Arabidopsis thaliana: one gene and its partners. The protein of the gene in region 3 interacts with the protein of the main gene of each other region in a biochemical or structural test. Each region holds a gene or a part of one and is shown on either strand. Other genes may lie near its edges.

Region 1 (6,565 bases), on a different chromosome or scaffold from region 3:
TAGATTCAAATTCTCTTAGAAAACAAACATATGATTAAATAAAATGTGGTTGATTTACAAAAATTCAGCTAGTTCATAATCGAAATTAACCGATAGCCCCTCTATCTACCTAAAATCAGAAAGAATTAATCTGAATCGAAGCGATTATTCGAAAGTTCTTATTTAATAGAGCTGGACTAATATTCTTAGCCGAACAGTGCCAAAATTTTGGTAATTAGATTTGGTTCAAAATACCGACAAAACTGTTTTGTTTGGTTTTGGAAGATTGAACATATCCGTATTTAGAAGCTCTTTTAGTTTTTCATAAATTTCTAAATATTCTTAAATTCTTCTACTTTTTTCTTTTTTGTAAATCAAATTTCCTAGCCGTATCAAACTGTGTCAAATATACTGAAATTGATTGAAATATACCAAAACCAAAAAGAATATACCGGAATTATTGGAAAATGAGGATTTTGGACACCGAGAAATGAACAAGAAATTTGTTTTTGGTTTGGTTCGACATCAATAATTTTAAGATAAACCAAACCGAACTATAAATTTGGTTAAAGTAGGAATTCGTTTATCCAAACCGATTGCCTAGCTTAAGAGGTCTGATGAGGATGGTTGGTAAGCAGGTTAAAAGGGTTCTTTCTATAAAACCCTACCAAATGTAAGTGATAAAGATTGTTCAGAGCTCCCTAATTGCAATAAATTCCCCCAGATCAGTTAGGGTTACAAGTAAGTGTAGACAATTCCTACGACGGATTAGGAAGAATGCTTTCTAAAATCACTTTGATCTTGAAATCATACGAGCCGAGAGAAAGTTGTACAAAAGCTTCTTTCGTCCCCATTTCCACCATGTCGGAACCCGAACAACCTTCCTTTTCATCTGATTTTCTGTAAAACCAGTGAGATTTTATTAGGAGAAAGAAGGATGAAGAATGAAATAGTTTTTTTTTTGGGAAGCATCACTCACTTTTGTTTTCGATCAGACGTGCTTCCAACTCTGAGAGTAATTTGGAGTAGCTGATAGCAAGTGATGGCCAGAACTCCAGTTGGATATTCAGTACATCAAGAACAGTTTGCAGGCCGGCTACTGAAGGCGTGGTGGCGATGGGCAACTCGTTCTCCGGATTTTCACCCAGAAGCACCTTTATAGATTAAGCGGGATCATGAATCTCCATAACTATATGCAGATTTTAAAGGATATCAAGTTTGAAATAGAGACTAACCTTGATCACTGCTGTTGCAGAAGCAGATATGGAGCGAAGATTGTAGCTGCAAATGAAAACAGGAGATTATTCAAAAGCTGCTCCTTACAAACCAAGAGGCTACTCCAAAAAACTGCAAAACACATACCCGCCCTCGAGAATAACTAGCATTTTCCCACCACACAGATCACCCAACATCTGTGTCATTCGAGAATAGCCAGCCGGAGTCACCTGAAAAAAGGAGTAGAACAGAACATCTATCCTCTGTTGATATCCACAAAACAATACACTGATTCCAGAAGTGGTAAATTACAGCTCGAATATGAAGCTTACATCACAGCATCCTAGTGGGTCTCCTCTAGCCGCATCAAATCCCGCAGATATGATGACAAAATCTGGAGAAAATGCAGAAGCTGCAAGAGAAGGTTCCAGTTAAAATTAGACTGAGTGCACATTCAAAAGTGAGCTAAATGTATTTGGTCCACTTCCTGAGCATATTAGTCATCAATTAAGCCAAAACGTTTATCAAATGGGGAAAAGTAGAACGACTCTGTACCTATGGGGAGAACCACATGTTGAAACGCAAAGATATAGTCTTTATCCCCAACTCCACCGCAACTCCATGGAACATTTACACAATAACCTTCCCCACCATTAGAACCAACCTGCACCCATAATTAACATTAGCAAACTATTGTTCTGCCGCCTAGAGAAAATTCAAATTTTGGAAACAAGGCAGAAATTAGAAAATAATCCCAAAATTTAAGACATAAATCATAATGCAAACCAAACACACAAATAAGGTATATGCATATATATACCAACAACTAAATCTACTCATGAATGCTGGATGAGACAATGTAAAACAGAAAAGCATAGGTACCTCATCAGCAGCTCCAGTACCGGGATAGAAGTTTCCTCCCTCATGTCTGTGCAAGGATATGTACAATACCTATGCAATGACTCCCAGTAATAAGTTCAAACAAGGTCAACTCACAAAAATAATTTACTGCATCCAACACTCCAAAATTGATGTGCAGACATGCATAGATTTGGGCAGCTTACAGATTTGTTTTGTTCGAATATCTCTTGGGTTCCGTTGCCATGATGGACATCCTGCAACGGTAGATATAACATTGATATGAGCCAAACCACACAATGCAGAGTACAACGAATTAAAAAAGTTTGAAGATCTACAAAATCACCCAGTTTAGAGTTATCAGTAACATTACCCAGTCCACAATCAGCACCTTCTTTGCCCCTGCTGCTTGTGCTACTAATGCAGCAACGGCTGCATTATTGTGAAGGCAAAACCCCATAGCATGCCTGACGCCAGCATGATGACCGGGAGGTCTAACCTGATACAATCAGAGATTTTTTTTTTTCAAACTAATATGGTGTAATTTCAATTTAAAGCAATTGTGTAGTTGCATCTTTAAATTTAAAAATTTTGGTGAATTAGACATACCAAAGCAAAACCATTTTTTACACGGCCAGTGAAAATATCTGTAGCTAGATCAGCGCACAAACCTGCTGCAAGTCTAGCAGCACGTGCTGAATACTCATTAGCATATGTGTCAGAGGTGAAGTAGCTGCCAGACAATGGTAAAAGAACGGGATCAAGAGCAAAAAGAGATAAATGAGGAGCAGCGAAGGTAAAGGAAATTTCAATTCAAGTTTGAACAGTCAGATTAACAAGCAAGGATATGCACGGTGAACGCAAAAAAAAAAGTAACAAATGGTTTAAAATTCAAACCTATAGAGAAGCTGGCTTGTAGTATCAACAGCATCAACATGCTCTGAAGTGTGGACCTCAAAATTGACATATACAAACCAGTTATGAAATTGCTTGTAAAAGTACTGCAATGAACATAATATTAGAATTGTCTCTAAGACAGTTATGTAGCAGCTCACCATCTGGAGTTCTTGTTTCGTGATTTCCCTTGCATTGATAGGCAAGCATCTTCCAGGAAAAACACCTGCAAAAAAATTCAAACGTGGTGAGTACCAAAATTACTCCCAACAGTATGATACTGTAAAATGAAACACATGATATGATATATGGGATCAAGTCTCAGAGAAGGTAGACAAGGACGCTAGAAGCTTCTTAATTGAAGAAGTTATGTTCTGATCTTTTCCTTTTAGAATTAGAATTTTATTATTTTCCTTTTTAGTTTTAACTTACCTCGGCTGCAAGAGATCTATATAATGATCTCCAAATCTTAATAATAATCAGCTTCCAAACATTAGTCTTCTTCTCAAGAGAGGCTAGGTTTAAAGGAAGTAAACGCAACATACCAGCTGTGGCAAGACTAGCAGCTATAGCTCGAAGACGATCAGGTCTCTCTGGATGTGGTTGTGCCTTCACTTCAAACTTTTTAAGCATGCCATCAGCACATATTAAATAGAAAAACTTGCACGAAGAAAAGCTTTGGAGATGATAATGTAGAGATGTCAACAGATACTAGAGGTTTCTCAGGAAAACATAACACATAACAGTAACAAGATCATACTTCTGAGTGTAGCAACATTCTCTCGTCGAACCCAACAGCTGTCGAGCTGGTTGCAGATGAGCTTCCTAATATCAAGTTAAAAGAAAAGTGAACATGCTTACAGTTACTTAAATAGCATGGAACTGAGACTAACAATATTTATAAAGACATTTTCAGAGGAAGCAAGGGAAGTAATTCCTACCTCCATATTTCTCCTCGACTTCAATGAGACCAGTGTCTTTAAAAAAGGGAGACGCTAAATATCCATGCCTCAAAATGCCAGATTCCTTGTGCTCACCGCATATCTACGTCAAGGAATCAACTTTACTAATACATAACCAATGTCCAATGCGCATTGCTCAGACGTACGTTTGTCACTTTGAAATCATAAAAAGTAGTAGCCAAGCAAGAAAAAGTAAATAAAAAACGTACACAACAGTGGACCATATCACCAGGGTTCGACATAGTGCAATTGACACAACACCATTTTACAAACTCCATAGGCGCCTGCACAGGTTCCCAATCACAATCATCATCCTCATCATCGTCATCATTGAGTAATGCATCAGCACCGTAAATATCTTCAAACGTCATTTCTCTAGAAACCCTAGCTCTTTTCTGCATAAGACACAACAATGACCAATATCACCAAAAGCAGAACCAACCAAATCTCTGACAATACATTAAAAGGAAGCCATGGTTTTTAGCTTACCGCTGAAACTCCAGGAGCTACATTTATATCTCCATTGCTACACTCTTCTCCCGAACAAGGAACAGCGATATCTCCACCGTTCACATGTCTTCTCTTTGAACCCTCACAAGACCTCTCGATAGTTTCTACAACCATTGTTACCTCAGTAGTCACTCAAAACTACTAACCAGCTGAAAATAAATCTCCGCTGTGCCAAAAGAGAAACAAAGAAAAACCCAATTTGAGAAATTTTAAAAATCAAAAAGTTTCATATACGAAGAGCTAAAATCAAAATCGAAGAAAATGTAAAGAACTCCACACACAGCTACAACAAATAACTTTACGAAGAACCCAACTTTTCTTCGAGTATTATCGAAATCGATCCTCGATCCAGAACTCAGGAATTGTTTTTTTTTCTCTATGGAAACTGAATAAAAATATCAACGACGGTCTCAAAATATCATACCTGAAGAAAACTTCCGGCGAAACGATGAACAGAGAAGGCTGCGTCCGTCGCGTTTAAAGGAGCGCGACGCTACGATAGCACAACAGAGCAGAAATGAGAGAAACGACGACGGCGACAACGAAGATGACGACGTTCAGACTTGAAAGAGTAAAAGATTATTTGGGCTGAAGATGAAGACCCAATAACACTATAAGCCCATTACCAAATTTGAGTCAAACTATTTATTTTTATTTCCTTTTGCTTGGAATTTTTCATTAATGTTCAAGTATTGAAAGAGCAAAGTACGACTGAATCTTACTTCACAAAGCCAATTTAGGTTTGTTGTCTTCTCGAAATGGATTACAAAAGTTACCATTTTTTAAAGGGAATGAGACTTTAGTTGTTATGTCATTGAATTTTTGTTTGGTAAATAACCTAACTGATAACTTCATAATATTTATAGTGAAAAATGTTTGAATCATCAGGTAATTAAACGTCACACTACAGATTGTAGAATGACTAATGGTTAAACTAACTGATAATGACCAGCTAACATAATCAAAATACGCCCAAGCGCATTAACACATGTGAGACTGATATTTGTTTCCCTTACCTTTTTCTTTTACCTTAACCTAATTCTAACTGTAAGTACTGAATCCAATTTCTTTGTTATATAATACATGTTTGTGTGCATGCATCTCCATATAGTACTCAAAAGCATCGTCTTTGTCTTTTCTCTAAGAATTTATTATTCATACATTAATATTAATTCTACAAACATGGGACTATGGGAGATAGTATTCCGTTATATATATAGTTCACAAGAAGAATATTGAGTGATATATTTCCATATATAACAACGACGACGACAACAAGAACACACCCACATAAAATGAGAGATGAACACCGAAATGTTAAAGATGTAAATATGTTGAGCTCTCTCTCCTTTTTATACCTCTATCATCATCTATACCTATACATGATAACATAAATATGTATGAAAAAATGTGTGTTGACTATCACTTGTGTGAACAAAGAAGCATAGTAATACATTTTCCAATAATGTAGAACCTTCCTTTCTTCTTTTTCAGAAACTCTCCAACTCCTTTTGGTGAAGAAGGCTTGTTCTTCTTCTTCTCCCAATTCTTCACTGCTTCCTCCTTTGTGTACTTCTCCCTCATTGTTTAAAGTGTGTTTATAAAACAAACTTTTTTGTTTTTCCTTATTATCAGGGATTCAGGGTGATTGTGTGATGATTGTGTGATGTTTAAATGGAAGTGAAGATTCATCATATTATATATATTGGAGTGAGAGAGAAAGAGATAAGGAGAAAGTATTCCCTACCATTGATTCGGGACCCTTCAACGAAACAACCCAAAAATAAAGGCCACTTTGTGAAGTGTGACCGACTAGCTTCCCATTATGGTTGAAAATATTTGATGTATTGTTTTCTTGTCTCCTTTCAGTTCAAAGATTCATCATCGGTAGAGATTGATTTATTCACTTTGATTATTGGAATATTATGTTAGAACATACGGTATTGCAGACCGTCCATATCTCATCTTAATTTCTTTGAATTTAAATTGAACATGCAAACTAACGTTATGGTTAACTGCTAAATAAATACATAAAATGCAAATTCCAAGGAGCTTTCGGGTTTGTTTTGAAATACATGTTTAAAAACTTCTGCATGACTATAAAAAATCACGAAACTAAGTGTTATATGCCTTGCCTTTAGAGAAAT
Region 2 (6,101 bases), 8.2 Mb from region 3:
CGTCGGAAAAAGAAAAGAAAATGTAGGTCTAAAAACCCTAATTTTATGAAATACTCCGATTCGTCTACTTGTGATTGATTAGCTTCCCTACCTTATTCCTCAAGCAATACATTGATTCATGTTTCTCTCTTTAGTATCTTTTGGAACAAAAACTTCTTCGTTTGATCTTCTCTGACTGATCTTGACGGTCTCATGTAGGCTTTGTGATTGGATTTTTAAAGTCTCTAGCTCATCAAGAGACTTCATAAAGCCTATTAAGCGGGAGGACCATTAACGTTAAGCCCAATAAAGTAAAACATTATCATATAGTTTAGTTTTATGAAATGACCAGGTGATCTATGTATGATTTGCAATGGTCTGATTGTTTAGTGACTGTTAATACTTAAAATTTCTTCAAAATCCTACGAATAAATCTGTGAATTGAAAATCACCTAATCCTACTGCTAAGCGTGATTAACAGTTTTTTTCTAATGAAAACGACAATGCAAACATTATTTAAGATGCGACGAATCATCAAGAACCCAGTTTCCAAATTTTGCGATGCTTATTACTATATTGTTTTATAATGACCCCTTCTGCTTTGCATTTGAACATCAATGCAACTATTTTTTTTGTAGCCGGGTTGGTCTCGACTAGTTACAGAGAAGGAATCATTAGGTTCAGGCCAAGTATTGAAACCTTAAACCAAAACACATAAAGTTGGTCCGATTTGATTAACATCTCAGTTGAACAAAACAGCACCTAAGAGTCTGATGAAACAGGATCATGAACCAGAACCATGTACCCCTAACTGATATGGAAAGGTCCTAAAAGCTACCACCAATATCTCAAAAGACAAACCAGCCTTACAAAAACCAAGACTCCTCGCTAAAACCCGCATTAGTTTACCATAGGCGATAGATAGATAGACAATGGGTTTTCTTTACTCTTAAGGCTTGGAGGCACAAGTCATAACATGCGACTTGAACTTCTCCAATTCTGCCACGACTTCTTCTTCTGGTCTGTAAATCAAGTCACTCATCCGCCATATCTGCCATAGAAGAAAGTATAAACAACATTTAACGGTATGTCAATAAAATTGCTTATCAAGGTACCAAGAAAGATTTCAAGGTTACCTGCAATGTTCCACCTCCACCAGTAGTCTCACAGTCATCAGAAACACTGACAATAGTCCAAGGGTCTGAAGCATTCCAGTGGAAATCAACAACTTTGTCCCTAATATGGTTTATAAACAAGGGAACTTAGAAGCAAGTAAAATGAGAAAGCAATCAAGAAAAATCAAGATAAGTCTTTAAGAACCTGTGACCAGCATGCTGGAAGAAGAGCCCAGCGGGGCTTTTAGCTGCACGATCAGACTTCTTACTGACCTGATGGTTAATTAAACAAACCAAACATGAGTACAATGAATATGTTTCAGTGATGATAGTGAAGAAAGATTAATTTTAGACATCTGAGTGAACTATGTACACACCCTGTCATAATCCCAGATGTTCAAGAGACCATCTTCTGCAGAGCTCCCAAAGACGGATGACTTATCAGGAGACCACTGAATTGAATAACAAGATAGTGTCAGTGGGTTAAGAGATATACTTCATACAAAGAAGGAAAAAAAAAAAAAAAGTTGATTATACCTGAACACAAAGAACAGCAGCTTTGTGTCCCTCAAATTTGTAAATAGGCGAACCAACTCCATTAGCGGTAAGCTTCCTACGATCAAACAACCGGACAGTGTTGTCTGCTGACCTGAAATATTCATCAATTTCTTAATTAGATACTAAGTATGTATTAATCATCTATTTGTATGTATTTCTCCATACCCTGTCAGGATCAGATTGTCGTCATGAGGATTCCAATCAACACAATGAAGATCAGCATCATGCGCTTTTTCAACCTGGAAAACAAAAAAGTAAGATATAATATCAAAAGGAGGTAAATCTTCAAACTTTTGATAGGATTCAAAAGATAGAGTACCTTCGTGACAGGGTTTGTGCCAGTTCTCGCATCCCATAGTATAAGGCAAGAATCATCACCAACACTGCAGAATTCTTGTGCACTTCACGGTATAAAAGTTCACCAGAAGTATTATTAGAAAATCATGAAAATATCTGCAGTATGCATAAACAAACACGATATCAATAGAAGGAGTCTGTTCTAAGAAGTTACCTCGTCGGGCTGAATGCCACATCTTCAACTGTATCTTCATGGCCATGATATACACCTCGTGGGCCAACAGTAGGACTCTCATTCTTATCAGTACCTTCACCAGTCTGTTTGATGATAGATCCAGATGATTTGGAATCTGTCCCAATCGTTGTGATGTGATCTTGGATACTCCACAAAACAACTGACTTGTCCTTGCCTAAGAGAAGAACTTTTGTATGAGAAACTGGCAAACCACAGGATTGGACTCTACAAATTACAGAAACACAAACCTCCGGAGAGCACAAAGGGTTCCGTTGGGCACATGGCAAGAGCAAATTCAGCATTATCTTGGTGCCCAGTTAGTATCTGCATGAAAAATGGTTCATTCAGATGATGCAAACAAGAAGCACTATTTAAGAAGATATCAAAGAGATTTATCACTTCCAATGATGAGAAACAAACAAGAATAAAGCATAAAACAACATTCTCAGAAGTGGACATACCAAATCTGGACGGGAATTTGCAGCTCCAAGCACAGCATGACGGTTTGGTTGGGTTTCAACATCCCAAATGAGAACCTGAAATCAACATATTGTATTTAGATAACTCTGAAACTGGACATATGTCCGAACAAAGGATGCTCTTTGACTGCCAAATACAGAAATATGAAACCGACATATTTCAAGTTGCTATGACCATAACAAAATAGAAGCAGCACTCACATCAGGACTGTCGGTGTGAGTAGCAACAATCTTACTATTCTGTGGGAGTTCCCTGATTCTGTTAACCTGCAATTGCAAATTAGTAATGAATACACATCAAAATTTACTTTCACCAACGTGCCAAACGAATAACTTCATGGACAGATGAAACAGGGATGCAGATACAATTAACAAACCAAATAGAACTAAAAAGAACAATGTCAATACAGAAATATCTCAAGAGTGGGCAGAATTCACACCTCTCCAGGGTGAATGATGGTCTTGTACTTCTTCACAAATGGAGAACGTGCTTCTTCATTGAACTGAGAACACATTTTCAGAAGATAGTATATAAGTGTCAAACATGAAACCAATTGTAGTGTGGAGTAGGATATGGAAAGGACACAAGCTTAGTATTAAACCACATAATACCTGAGAAATGTGCTCTGCTGCAGCAACCCTTGGCTTAACAACTTCACAATTTGCTATGACCAAAGTATTGGGCACACTTCCATCAGTCTGGTGACACAACCAAGAAAAATACAAATAATACGATGAGAAGTATATAAAGAAGATGAGACAACAAGATACAAGAGAAAGCTAAAAACTTACTTGCTCTGAGAGGTACAGACGCTGGCGATTCTTGTAGGTTGCTTGCTCAAGCTGCGGACCCCATCTATAAAAAAATCAAACAACAATTCACCAAATGGAAACTCTTAGCACAACAACTAAAGACTTCATCAGATATAAACACTCAGAGAAACTGAAAATTCCTCTTAGTCATTAGTAACCAACAAGGTAATCAATAGTAACAATTCATGAATAGAACATCAGATATATCAAGGTATGAAGACAGAGCCACATCCAAAACCCTAACTAGAACAATCGCAACAATCTCACTTAAACCCAGAAATCGAGAAAATGTATGTGTAAGATTTTACTAAATTCATTCCAAACATGAGAATGTTCAAAGCTAAGAAACGATTACGAAACGAAACCCTAGAAGGAGAGGAAAGGAGAAAGGGGGAGACCTGCAAGAGAGTGAAGGCCAGACGAGGTTATGGTTAGCGAGCCAGTCGTAGAGAATGGGGACGAGACCTTTCCACTGAGAGTACTTCTCGTCAACACTCGGCGACTGCTGCGTTTTCTTCCCACTTTCTTTCATTTTAACATCGCTCTGTTGCTGAGACGACGGCGTCTGAGAATCTTCCTTGGTTTTAGGTTTCCGACCTCTCTTCTTCGGCCCAGAAGCTCCGGTTCCTCCGCTCGGTGTCGTTGCTTGAGGAGACACTGCTGCTGCTTCGTCGCTCTCCATTTTCCTCTCTCTCTTTTTAATTTTTCTTTTTTGGTCTTTGCTTTCAGTGTCTCTATATCTCTCTCTCTTCTGCTTTACAAATACAAACAAAACAACCACCGTTTACCATTTTTACTTTGGACATAATACCTGAATCCGAAAAAACCGATCTGAACCCGATCCAAAAATCCCAATCCAAAAATCCCAATCTAAATTCGAACCTGAAATTTTCAAATATCCGACTGAATCTAAACTTCAAAACCTGAAAAACCCGAACCCGAACTGGTACCCAAACATATCTTAAATATAAATATAACTAAAATATTTATATTTATATTTACATATAGACAATATTATGATTTTTCGGATATTTTAGTTACTTTTATGTATTTTTAAATATATTCAAGCAAAACTACTCGGGTTGTTTAGGGAATTTTTGAAATTTTCAAATAATTTAATAGATTCGGACACAAAATTTTGATATTTCAATATATAACTAAACCCGAAACCGAACCAAACCCGACCCGGAATCTTGAATTACTCGAACGGATCTTAAAATTCTAAACCCGAAAAACTCAAACCCAAAATACCCGACCGAATATCCAAACACCCATAATTATTATTTTTTAATTCAGTAAAATAAATACTTTATTGAATAATAATAAAAATTACGGATGAAATAATTAACAGTATAAATTAATTAATATAAGCGTCTCTTACATGGATTACTAACTTTATAATTCATATCCAAACTTGTTGTTCTTTCTTGTAGCTTCTTCTGAAAAAAAAAAAAAGAATAGATCCTCGTTGCATTTTGAAAAGTGATTTAAGAAGATTTCAATGTTTGTTTAATACTTGAACAATAAAGTCCAATATTGTTCAGAAGTATATGACTAAGCTTAGACTTGAACCCTAAGTTTGTTCTTGGTGTCTAAACTTAAAACATTCATTTCATTTGTTCTCTGCTGGCTAAACCTATAAAATTTACCTTTCATTTTATCTTCTTTATTTAAAACATAAAATTGTACTATTTCATATCCCTCTTTGTTCTATGTGAAAAGCTCAATTTTCACTCATGGATTCGACACCAAATAACTTTCTTTGGGACATTGAAAGCCTTAAAATATCTCGAGGTTATGATTTACATGTAGTTGTTCCAAGCTTGAGGCTTTTTCTCAATCCAGCATGGATTAATCTGATGAATATGGTAAATCCGAAAAAAACCTAAACGTCTGTTCGCTCTATTTAATATCTTAATTTTTTTTATTATGATTATAGTTTAGAACTTAAAAGTTATGTATAATCATGTCATTTTAAAATTTCGCTTCAAATCTCTATAATTCTTGGCATTGCACTTCTTATATCACTAGTTTTGACTATTAAGAAACGTTTTGTGCATAAAAATTCAGATTTTTTATGATCAACAAATTAAATAGTGTTAGAAATTTTGTTGTGATTATGAATTTTTTAAAATTCTAACACAATTTATTTGGTAGAGGTGCAAAATAGGTATTAAACAAAAATTTTAGATCTGCACAACATATATGTATACAAATATGTATATGAACTATGCAAATAAAAGAAAAAAAAAACTATTACTAAGATTACTAGGGAAAAATATTGACTCAAATCATCTAATTTATGTTTCTCATCTTACTAATATTAATGTTGATAGTATAGTGGTGTTTCATATATTCTCTAATTGCATATTACATATACATATTTGTATATTTACACCTATTTTCCTATTAACTTAATAAATAAATATTATTTTTTTTGGGACGAAATAAATTGTATTATTATCGTCATAAAACTGATAGGTACAATGAAATTAGTAACGCTAATGAATTTGTCGTCCAAAAATTAAAGATTTGAATTTTTTATACACAAAGTTTTTCGTGGTAGTTAGAGACATGTGATACAAGCATTTAAGATATTATGCATGTAAGGCAAACATGATTTTT
Region 3 (7,675 bases):
GACAATAAGCATTTGTGAGTTTGGAAAAGACACCAATTTCGCAATTATTGTTATCATATTGAAGACCTGCCAAAAACAAGAACAGAAAAAAAAAGAACAATCCTGTAAGCAACTTGAAAAGAAAGCATCGTATAAAAAGCTAAAGCTTAAGGGAAACTCACGAGTCGCCATGATATGGATCCAACAAACACCTGCGGAATTAAGTAACACGAAAACCTAATATGAGATTATGAATTTCAATACAGATCCAAGGCAGAAACAGAGAATGAAAGATTTAGGTTTTCGGATCATTGGTTATGCTATATTGAAAGATTTAGTTTTAAGGTTTACCTTGTCGACAAATCGGAACAAAAAGTGACGGAACGATAGGAAGAGACCCTATTCTCTCTTCCGAAAACCCTATTTATATATCAGAAACTTGGAACAAGCTTATGCTACTTATTTCCATTTATTAGTTTTGGTAAATAATAAAAAAGTTAAAAATTAAAATTTTGAGAGGAAATTGTGAATGTAAAAAGAAAATGATTTAATCTCAATGTGTTGTTATAACTTCTACGATTCAACAATCAGCTGCACCAATATAAGAAATTAAACATACTCATAATAATAATATCACTCCGCTCATCACAATGATATCTTTAAAATAACTGTCCAAAAAAGGTAGACTAGAGAAGAAATACACAAAATTCAGCACAAAAAATAACAGGAGAACAACGCTCACTGTAACAGTCTCTCTCCCCTCTTTACACAACTTGCTCTACCTCTCTCTCTCTTTCTCTATGCTTTAAACATAATTGATGATGGTCTTTTCGAGTGTTTGTTTCATTTCATCTTGCTGCGAATCTACGTCTCCTCCTTCCCTTCACCGGCATGGAACCAAAACTAGTCAGTTCATCTTCGTCATCGCTTGTTTCATCTGACCGCCATCTCAATCCACCACTGTTATTTCTGCTCTCCGTGGCCAAGACATTGTTGTTGTTGTCCTTTAAGCTGCAATTCATAATACACACAATTGATATGTAGCTCATCCAATATAAGACTAAAAGCCGTGGACATAAGAACCAAACAAAGTTCCTTAGACTGAAACCAAACTGGACTTTATTTTCAAACCAAACGGTAACAATAGTTTTATACCAAACAATACCAGTGTCCTCTACTTTAATGGCACGATTCAGAAAGGAACAAATGGCTAAGAGATAAAGAAGAGAGGAATACCTCGAAGACATGTCCATTGGATCATCCAAATCAACAAAGTTATCTTTGTCTGGTTGCATCCTTGTGCCAAAAAAGGTGGATTCCGGTTTCTGTGAAGATCCATTGAGATGGTTGCTGCTAGATTTCACTGTCACGGGATTGTTAGCTGTGATTCGGCGGAGATAAGGAGAGCTCATATTATTCTCTATGTATCTATCAACATTTACTTCTGGAGAGGATTCTTCAGTCCTTTTCCCTTGGAGCTGGCTGTTCCCACGAGCTCTATTTAGATCTTTGAACGGAGTTGACATTTCACCGAATTTCAGATTCTTGGTTACGCTTCTAACTTCACTCTTTTGTCCTCTATTTGCGTTTGTAAATAACCTTCCATGTGAAAGATCATGGGACGCGTTTCCTATCATATGACCAGGTTGAAAAGGACTGCCATTATTAGCCACTGGCTCTCTAGCTCTGGCATTGTTAGCACTTTGGAGAAAAACGGAATTAGTAGTGGCAAAGGGAACTGAAGAAGTAATCATGTCAGGTGCATCAGGAAGATCAGATTTTTTTGCTCCTTCAGAGGCATCTTCCATCTCAGAAAATTGTCCAGATCTAACTTGCTGCTGCTGAATTACTGGAAGTATATCTATGGCTCTATCCTGTTTCAAAGGAGCAGAGACACGGGAGGTTTAAATGTCCAGTTAAAAAAAGCCAGTATCAAGTAATATTGTACATTCAAGTTTCAGAATACTAGACAATCCTGCAAGCATCAACAGGTTATTAAGCACTAAAACGCAAATGTGAGGATGTAGCCTTTAACAAGGAACTATGGAAGGATCCACTTGTACATGGAAAGTTGGCTGAAATACTTACAACTAACTCTTTTCTCCAATGACTCTGTGATCGCATTCTGAACATAACTTCTTCCCCAATTTGATTGTCGGATACGAAAGCCTCTTCGATTTTCTGAAGCCTAAGATCGACTTGGTATGCCTGGATGTAACGGTAGCGCTGCAGCAATGTGAACAACCAGTAATTTCTAGTCAAAGAAAGACCATATACAAAAGATAATAACTTTCCAGAAAATAAGCATGGTCTATAGTGATGCAGTTTCCCTGGTTGTTCAAATAATTTCATGCTTGTTAACCAACATCCCAGACTACACCAAGCTCGAATTATAAAAGATTGTTGAAGCCACACATCAAATACGAGAACATATACCAGTCTCTATAGAATGAGCTAATTCTATACAGAGCCATCATTGAGATCCCTTATTAAAATTTTCAATATGTAGCTTAAAGCTCGGGAGGTTTAAGCTGCTGTCTAAATATCTATTTGCCTGTTGCTAAAGCTATTCTCGTTCTGAAAAACAATTCTCAGCCCATTGTTCAAGTGAAGTTATTTAAAGTTTGAAAATATAATTACTTACCTGAAGATAAAAGACAACCAAGAGACTACCCACAGCTGATGAGGGGTCATCAGTTGCCGAATCTAATAAGCATCTGTGCAGATATTTCTCCTCATCTGGGTTCCACGGTAACTCAATGATTCGATCAACCAAGTTTCTCCGAATAGAAAGACAGCAGAATTCATTGACAAGTATCTCCATCCATTCCGTCCAACTCCAGATGTCTAGATCATCAGACGCATGTTTCACAGCTCCATTTTTCAAATTATTTTCCTTTACTTTCAAGCAGAGTGTCCTTTGGTATGTGAATGCTTCACTCAAAAGACCACATTCCACTCTCACACGAAGAGCTGTGACAGCTTCACCAATTGAAACCAATTCTGATACACCATCACGACCAGACCAACGCAAGACCATAAGAGCTGTTTCAGGGTTATCCCTTTCTAACAGGACTTGCGCAACTTTGGGGTAGGTTTCTGGACCGCATATTTCAGGTAGAATCCTACAAGCTTCCTGAAATATAATTTGGAAAGTTTGTAAGCTACACCAATTAATAAATGTATGGCACAATAAAATACACGTTTCTATAAGTTTTCCTTGGGAATGCCAAAAGATACCTGGAGTGCCTCCTCTGAGTGATCATCGAGAAGATAAAATACAAAAGACTCCAGCAATGAATGCCTCGTTATGCCAAACGTAGCAGCAAAATCATCTATAGTGTGCTTCCAATATTTTTCAGGGGTAGTCCAATGCCGATCAAACAGGTAGTAAAGAAACTATCTTCTGGTTAAGGAAACCAGCGTAAAGGAAAAACATGGGAATGTTTCCTGATTCAAGTATTCATTAAAAGTAAAGTGCAATGTAATGTGAAACTAGGCGATGACAAAAGGATACAATTGCTTGCTTCGCAACAACCAAATCTGAACCGCCATGTAAAAAGAGCATGTCAGCAGCAGTTCTAAGATTCTCAAATGGATAAGATCCTGAAGTTCCCTCTATTTTGGACCTAAGAAATGATCTCTTATCCTTCTGTAAACGTCCAACTTCTAGGTCGGCACCTATTTCCTGACTGTATTCTGGCTCTCTCTCAAGATTTTCTAAAGCATCCTCAATAAAGAGGGAAGCACTCTGTACACTGCAATCTGAAGACTGGTCTACAGCATCAGGCCATGCACGCTTAACTGCATTTGATTTTCTTTCCCCTACCAGTGCATTCCACGATGTGAAATTCGAATATCGAGACCTCACATCATCCAGAAATCCATGTCTGATGCACCAGACCATTATGTCCAAATGCTGAAATAAAATAAAAAGAATAGGGTAAGCACACGTAAGCTCAGTGATCTTGCACCAATAGCTAAAGAGCTGATCTATTTAAAACACTCTCTGGTCAGAAGCCATAAGGTTATACTCATTTACTATTCAGTATGTCATATAAAGATAGGTTACATATACCCCATCTACATTCACTAATATGCAATGACATTAAAAAAGAAAAGAAGAATAAAGTCACAAAGCTAGGGATAGAAAATCAGATCCAAGCTGATGATGGAAGACCATTATCGTGCCTTTCATACATCTAAATGCAAAGCTTTTACAGTACAAACTTTACTGCAAGCCGTATACAAAACAAGTAACTCATTCTATGACAGAGGCAAACTAAACATTAATGCACGTAGGAAACTTCAATGTACAACGGATATTTCTAAGGGGGATAAAGAGAGTTATTTAAGCATACTTTTGCAAAACTGTTTGGATATCAATGAAATGAAATCATGGCTGACCTGCTTTGTTTTACCAATGTTCTCTCTCAGCGTCTGCACATCTTGAAGCTGAGGTGACACAGAACCCTTAAAAGCTGATTCCATAACTTCGAGCACACTACATATGCCAGCCACCTGTTTGGAACACCTTAGGAGTTTATCTAACCACGCTTGCATCTCTTTTGTTTCAAGATTATCTGAGGGCCAATATTAAAGATAGACAGACCTTACGGTGCACAAATATACAGTCTTAAGAAACATAAAAATATTAACAGCTAAAAGGATACAGATTTCTTGAAGTTCAGCTAAGGTGCTCCGGAATGTACGCTTGACCCAATCCTTGACAACAACTTCATCCAGCAAGAAAGCAATGACCGGATCACTAGATACAGCTGTCTCATCCATACAGACATTGGTGATATCTATTAATTTTCTGTCAAGGAGATGTCAACTATGCATCCAACATAAAATACCTCTTAGAGAATGAATGACAAAAACACTATGCACATTTCGCCCAACAGAGACAAGCATGAAACAAGAACTACCTAAAAATACATGAACCTATCAGTACAAAACTCCCCATATAAACACAGTTCCTAATAGCACAAGCATACGAATCTAAAAGAAATTCATGAAAGTATCAAACAGGAAACTAAAAGACTAAATGCATATATCAGACACCAAGCATAAATGCAACTGAAGGATACAATGGCAAACCACCGAGATCAAATTATTGTTCATAGCAACATCAAACAGAGAATAAAGGCGATGAACATCAGCTGCCAATTGATGTTCATCCTCATCCGAATCCTGTGACGCCTCTTCATGTGTTCGGGAAATCAAACCAGCTTCAACACACTCATAATAGAGACGAAGCCTAAGTCTATCTCCAAATTTTGGTAGCGTACTTCTACAGATAGGACAAACATCACACCTCTGACAACACTCTGTGCACAAGGAGGCATGACCACATGGATTCAACACATAGTTCACAAATCTTCCACAGCTAGCTAAGTCTCTTGTTGCACGACATCGCTCAACTTTTGCCTCATTACATAATTCTCTGAGGTTTATAGATGCCAAATGTTTCAACGCCTCCTGTAAGTTACAAACAATAAATTCGAAATTAACTCTAAGCTCTGCAAAACCCATTTTTTTAAGCTGAACCTAGAAATCCTAAGACCTGAGCTAAACTAATTCAGTGGAGAAATAAAAAGGTATAAAGCGGAAGAACCTGAACAGGCTTGCTACTGTAATTAGGCTGCGTAGGAAGAGATATCGATCTCGCGGCGGAGGCAAAACCGTTGATTTCTCTCGTATCCATCTACTCCGGTGACGAATACAAAAATGGAGGTAAAGAGAGAAAAAGCGTGGTTGGTGTTGGCGAGAGTGATAAAACCAGTCTAGGGCTCCGTTGAGCTTTCTCGGGAGGGAAGACGAAGAGAGGAAACACTGTTGAGTGAATTTCTCCTCAAACGGGTCAAGTCGGATTGTTTAATTCGGGTCAAATTTTAAATATGGGCCTTTCTTTTTGAAGTCTTGTGTGAATCTTGTGATTGTCTGGGCCCAAGTCGGCAAATCACGATTCGGGTCAAAATTTAAATATGGGCCTTTGTTTTTGAAGTCTTGTGTGAATCTTGTGATTGTCTGGGCCCAAGTCGGCAAATCACGTGTCCGAAAGTGAACAGCGCGTGTTTTACCGACTTGCTAAGAAAGCGCGTGGATCGTTCTTTCTTTAGTTTCTCTTCCTTTCCCAATTGCTTCCACGACGACGGAGGAGGAGAAGCAAACCCAGAAACCTTAAAAATTCAGAAAAAGGGACGACCTTTTTTCCGATCTTATCGATTTTTGAATGAGATTAGAAGAACCTATCTTCTAAGTTTTTCTTTGATATCTTTTTCTCTTTGATCGATGGATGAGTCGTTCGCTAATCTACAATCAAGCCATTTGCTTGGTTCAGTTCCGGTAAGTCTATATTACATCTATTGCTTCTTTCATTTCACCATCAATAAGCTCTTTGATTGAGTTTTTCTATGATCCTTGTTTGTGTGAAGGGAAAATTAACGTTTTTTGTTCATGCCATCATTTTGTTTGTTGTTCTGTCTCAAGTGTTACATTAGGAAGTAGAATTTTGAAACTTTTCAGATTTTTTTGTCATATTTTTTCGCGTCCACGATGATGCCTAAAGTCTTCACACTCATAGAACAATGGACGATTTCCTTATTTGCATTTCTGGGTTTCTATATTTGTTAAGGCGTTTTATTTAAGTTTTTTCACCATTTTAGGAGACAATTCGTATGAAAAACAAAACTGTATTTGAGTTTAAATGCTTGCATGATAGCTTCATTTTGGATTGAATCCGCTAAGATAAATGTTTTGAGTGAATGGATTGACTATCCCCGTGTTATTATGTCTGATACAAACATCTGTATTCTTAGGCTGTGATCAGCGACGACAAGAGAAGCACAAATGTACCAATAGCAAGCGTCAATGAAGGTGTGTTCTTTTGCTAGTTTCTGCTTGAATTATCTTTTGCAAAGAACTTTTCCGGTAGTGAAAGACATTGAGTGTTGTATGTCTTCTGCATTATTGCAGGCCCTTCTGCAAGCATGCAAATATTTCCACCGAATCTAGGAAACAATACAAAGGGTTATCAAACTCTTGAGAGCCCAACAGGTATATATGCTCCTTTTAGATTCCTTTTTTAGGAGATATTTTTATCTGTAGTCACCATGAATCAGTACAATGGTTGAAAGAATACTTGTGTGAGTCAACCTCGTTTTTCTTATGGATGTCAAGATCCTATATACCTTTGTTTTCACCTTGTTCTGTCTTATATGGTGATATATCTTATCTGCTCCAGTAGAAGGACCAGCACAACAGCCATCAAACAACTGGAAGGGCTTTTTTAATGTCTACTCATATACCCAATACTTCGACGTGGACACGGACGTTGTTTTGAACAGATTAATGAGCTCTTTATATCCTACTAGTGGAGATTTTTTCAACAAGATTGATGCAAACCCTGATTTGTAAGTCTTTTAATGCCTTTTTCTCCTTCACTCTTCTTGGTGATTGTACTTACCATGAGAGAGTTCTTTCGAATTTCTTTAATCGGTCCATTGCTCAGTCATGCCGTTAATTTGTTACCGTTCTAAGTGTTATCTTCTGCACCTTTCCGAAAGCATGATCTTGCTATTCATTTACTCCTATGTTACTTCAGGCGATTGATTAAAATATCCTCATTTTCTCTTGGACAAATGAACAGAAAGCATCATAATATGTTATCCTCTAAAGATTGGCTAAAAGC

What was found. Proteins that work in one complex are often made in the same cells at the same time.
Region 1: the proteins of HOS1 (region 3) and HDA15 form a complex in vitro, tested with the Arabidopsis thaliana proteins (one study listed by BioGRID).
Region 2: the proteins of HOS1 (region 3) and FVE form a complex in vitro, tested with the Arabidopsis thaliana proteins (one study listed by BioGRID).

The regions. Positions count from the first base shown.
Region 1 is NC_003074.8:6,359,572-6,366,136, reverse strand, and holds HDA15 (histone deacetylase 15), read right to left. Parts: upstream 4,962-6,565; 5' UTR 4,843-4,961; intron 4,585-4,842; 5' UTR 4,533-4,584; coding exon 4,398-4,532; intron 4,304-4,397; coding exon 4,118-4,303; intron 3,991-4,117; coding exon 3,888-3,990; intron 3,772-3,887; coding exon 3,707-3,771; intron 3,568-3,706; coding exon 3,492-3,567; intron 3,173-3,491; coding exon 3,108-3,172; intron 3,006-3,107; coding exon 2,950-3,005; intron 2,786-2,949; coding exon 2,662-2,785; intron 2,552-2,661; coding exon 2,426-2,551; intron 2,310-2,425; coding exon 2,259-2,309; intron 2,146-2,258; coding exon 2,077-2,145; intron 1,859-2,076; coding exon 1,750-1,858; intron 1,607-1,749; coding exon 1,527-1,606; intron 1,425-1,526; coding exon 1,342-1,424; coding exon of another isoform or gene 1,314-1,341; exon of another isoform or gene 1,261-1,313; coding exon 1,215-1,260; exon of another isoform or gene 1,134-1,214; coding exon 955-1,133; coding exon of another isoform or gene 951-954; exon of another isoform or gene 880-950; coding exon 738-879; 3' UTR 522-737; and 1 more. Other genes in the region: RTFL20 (ROTUNDIFOLIA like 20), read right to left, coding at 5,841-6,002. UniProt on the Arabidopsis thaliana protein: Responsible for the deacetylation of lysine residues on the N-terminal part of the core histones (H2A, H2B, H3 and H4).
Region 2 is NC_003071.7:8,454,063-8,460,163, reverse strand, and holds FVE (Transducin family protein / WD-40 repeat family protein), read right to left. Parts: upstream 4,409-6,101; 5' UTR 4,159-4,408; coding exon 3,875-4,158; intron 3,520-3,874; coding exon 3,456-3,519; intron 3,363-3,455; coding exon 3,276-3,362; intron 3,167-3,275; coding exon 3,104-3,166; intron 2,931-3,103; coding exon 2,865-2,930; intron 2,721-2,864; coding exon 2,646-2,720; intron 2,509-2,645; coding exon 2,433-2,508; intron 2,360-2,432; coding exon 2,164-2,359; intron 2,054-2,163; coding exon 1,972-2,053; intron 1,892-1,971; coding exon 1,818-1,891; intron 1,744-1,817; coding exon 1,632-1,743; intron 1,547-1,631; coding exon 1,472-1,546; intron 1,368-1,471; coding exon 1,300-1,367; intron 1,216-1,299; coding exon 1,116-1,215; intron 1,031-1,115; coding exon 929-1,030; 3' UTR 522-928; downstream 1-521. UniProt on the Arabidopsis thaliana protein: Core histone-binding subunit that may target chromatin assembly factors, chromatin remodeling factors and histone deacetylases to their histone substrates in a manner that is regulated by nucleosomal DNA.
Region 3 is NC_003071.7:16,610,955-16,618,629, reverse strand, and holds HOS1 (ubiquitin-protein ligase), read right to left. Parts: upstream 5,854-7,675; 5' UTR 5,690-5,853; coding exon 5,600-5,689; intron 5,464-5,599; coding exon 5,073-5,463; intron 4,788-5,072; coding exon 4,653-4,787; intron 4,563-4,652; coding exon 4,387-4,562; intron 3,899-4,386; coding exon 3,497-3,898; intron 3,379-3,496; coding exon 3,220-3,378; intron 3,116-3,219; coding exon 2,624-3,115; intron 2,206-2,623; coding exon 2,068-2,205; intron 1,854-2,067; coding exon 1,216-1,853; intron 991-1,215; coding exon 828-990; 3' UTR 508-827; downstream 1-507. Other genes in the region: eIF6B (Translation initiation factor IF6), read right to left, coding at 1-66, 162-171; AT2G39805 (Integral membrane Yip1 family protein), read left to right, coding at 6,277-6,330, 6,804-6,861, 6,961-7,041, 7,229-7,397. UniProt on the Arabidopsis thaliana protein: E3 ubiquitin-protein ligase that mediates ubiquitination and subsequent proteasomal degradation of the transcription factor ICE1. Acts as a negative regulator of cold signaling pathways.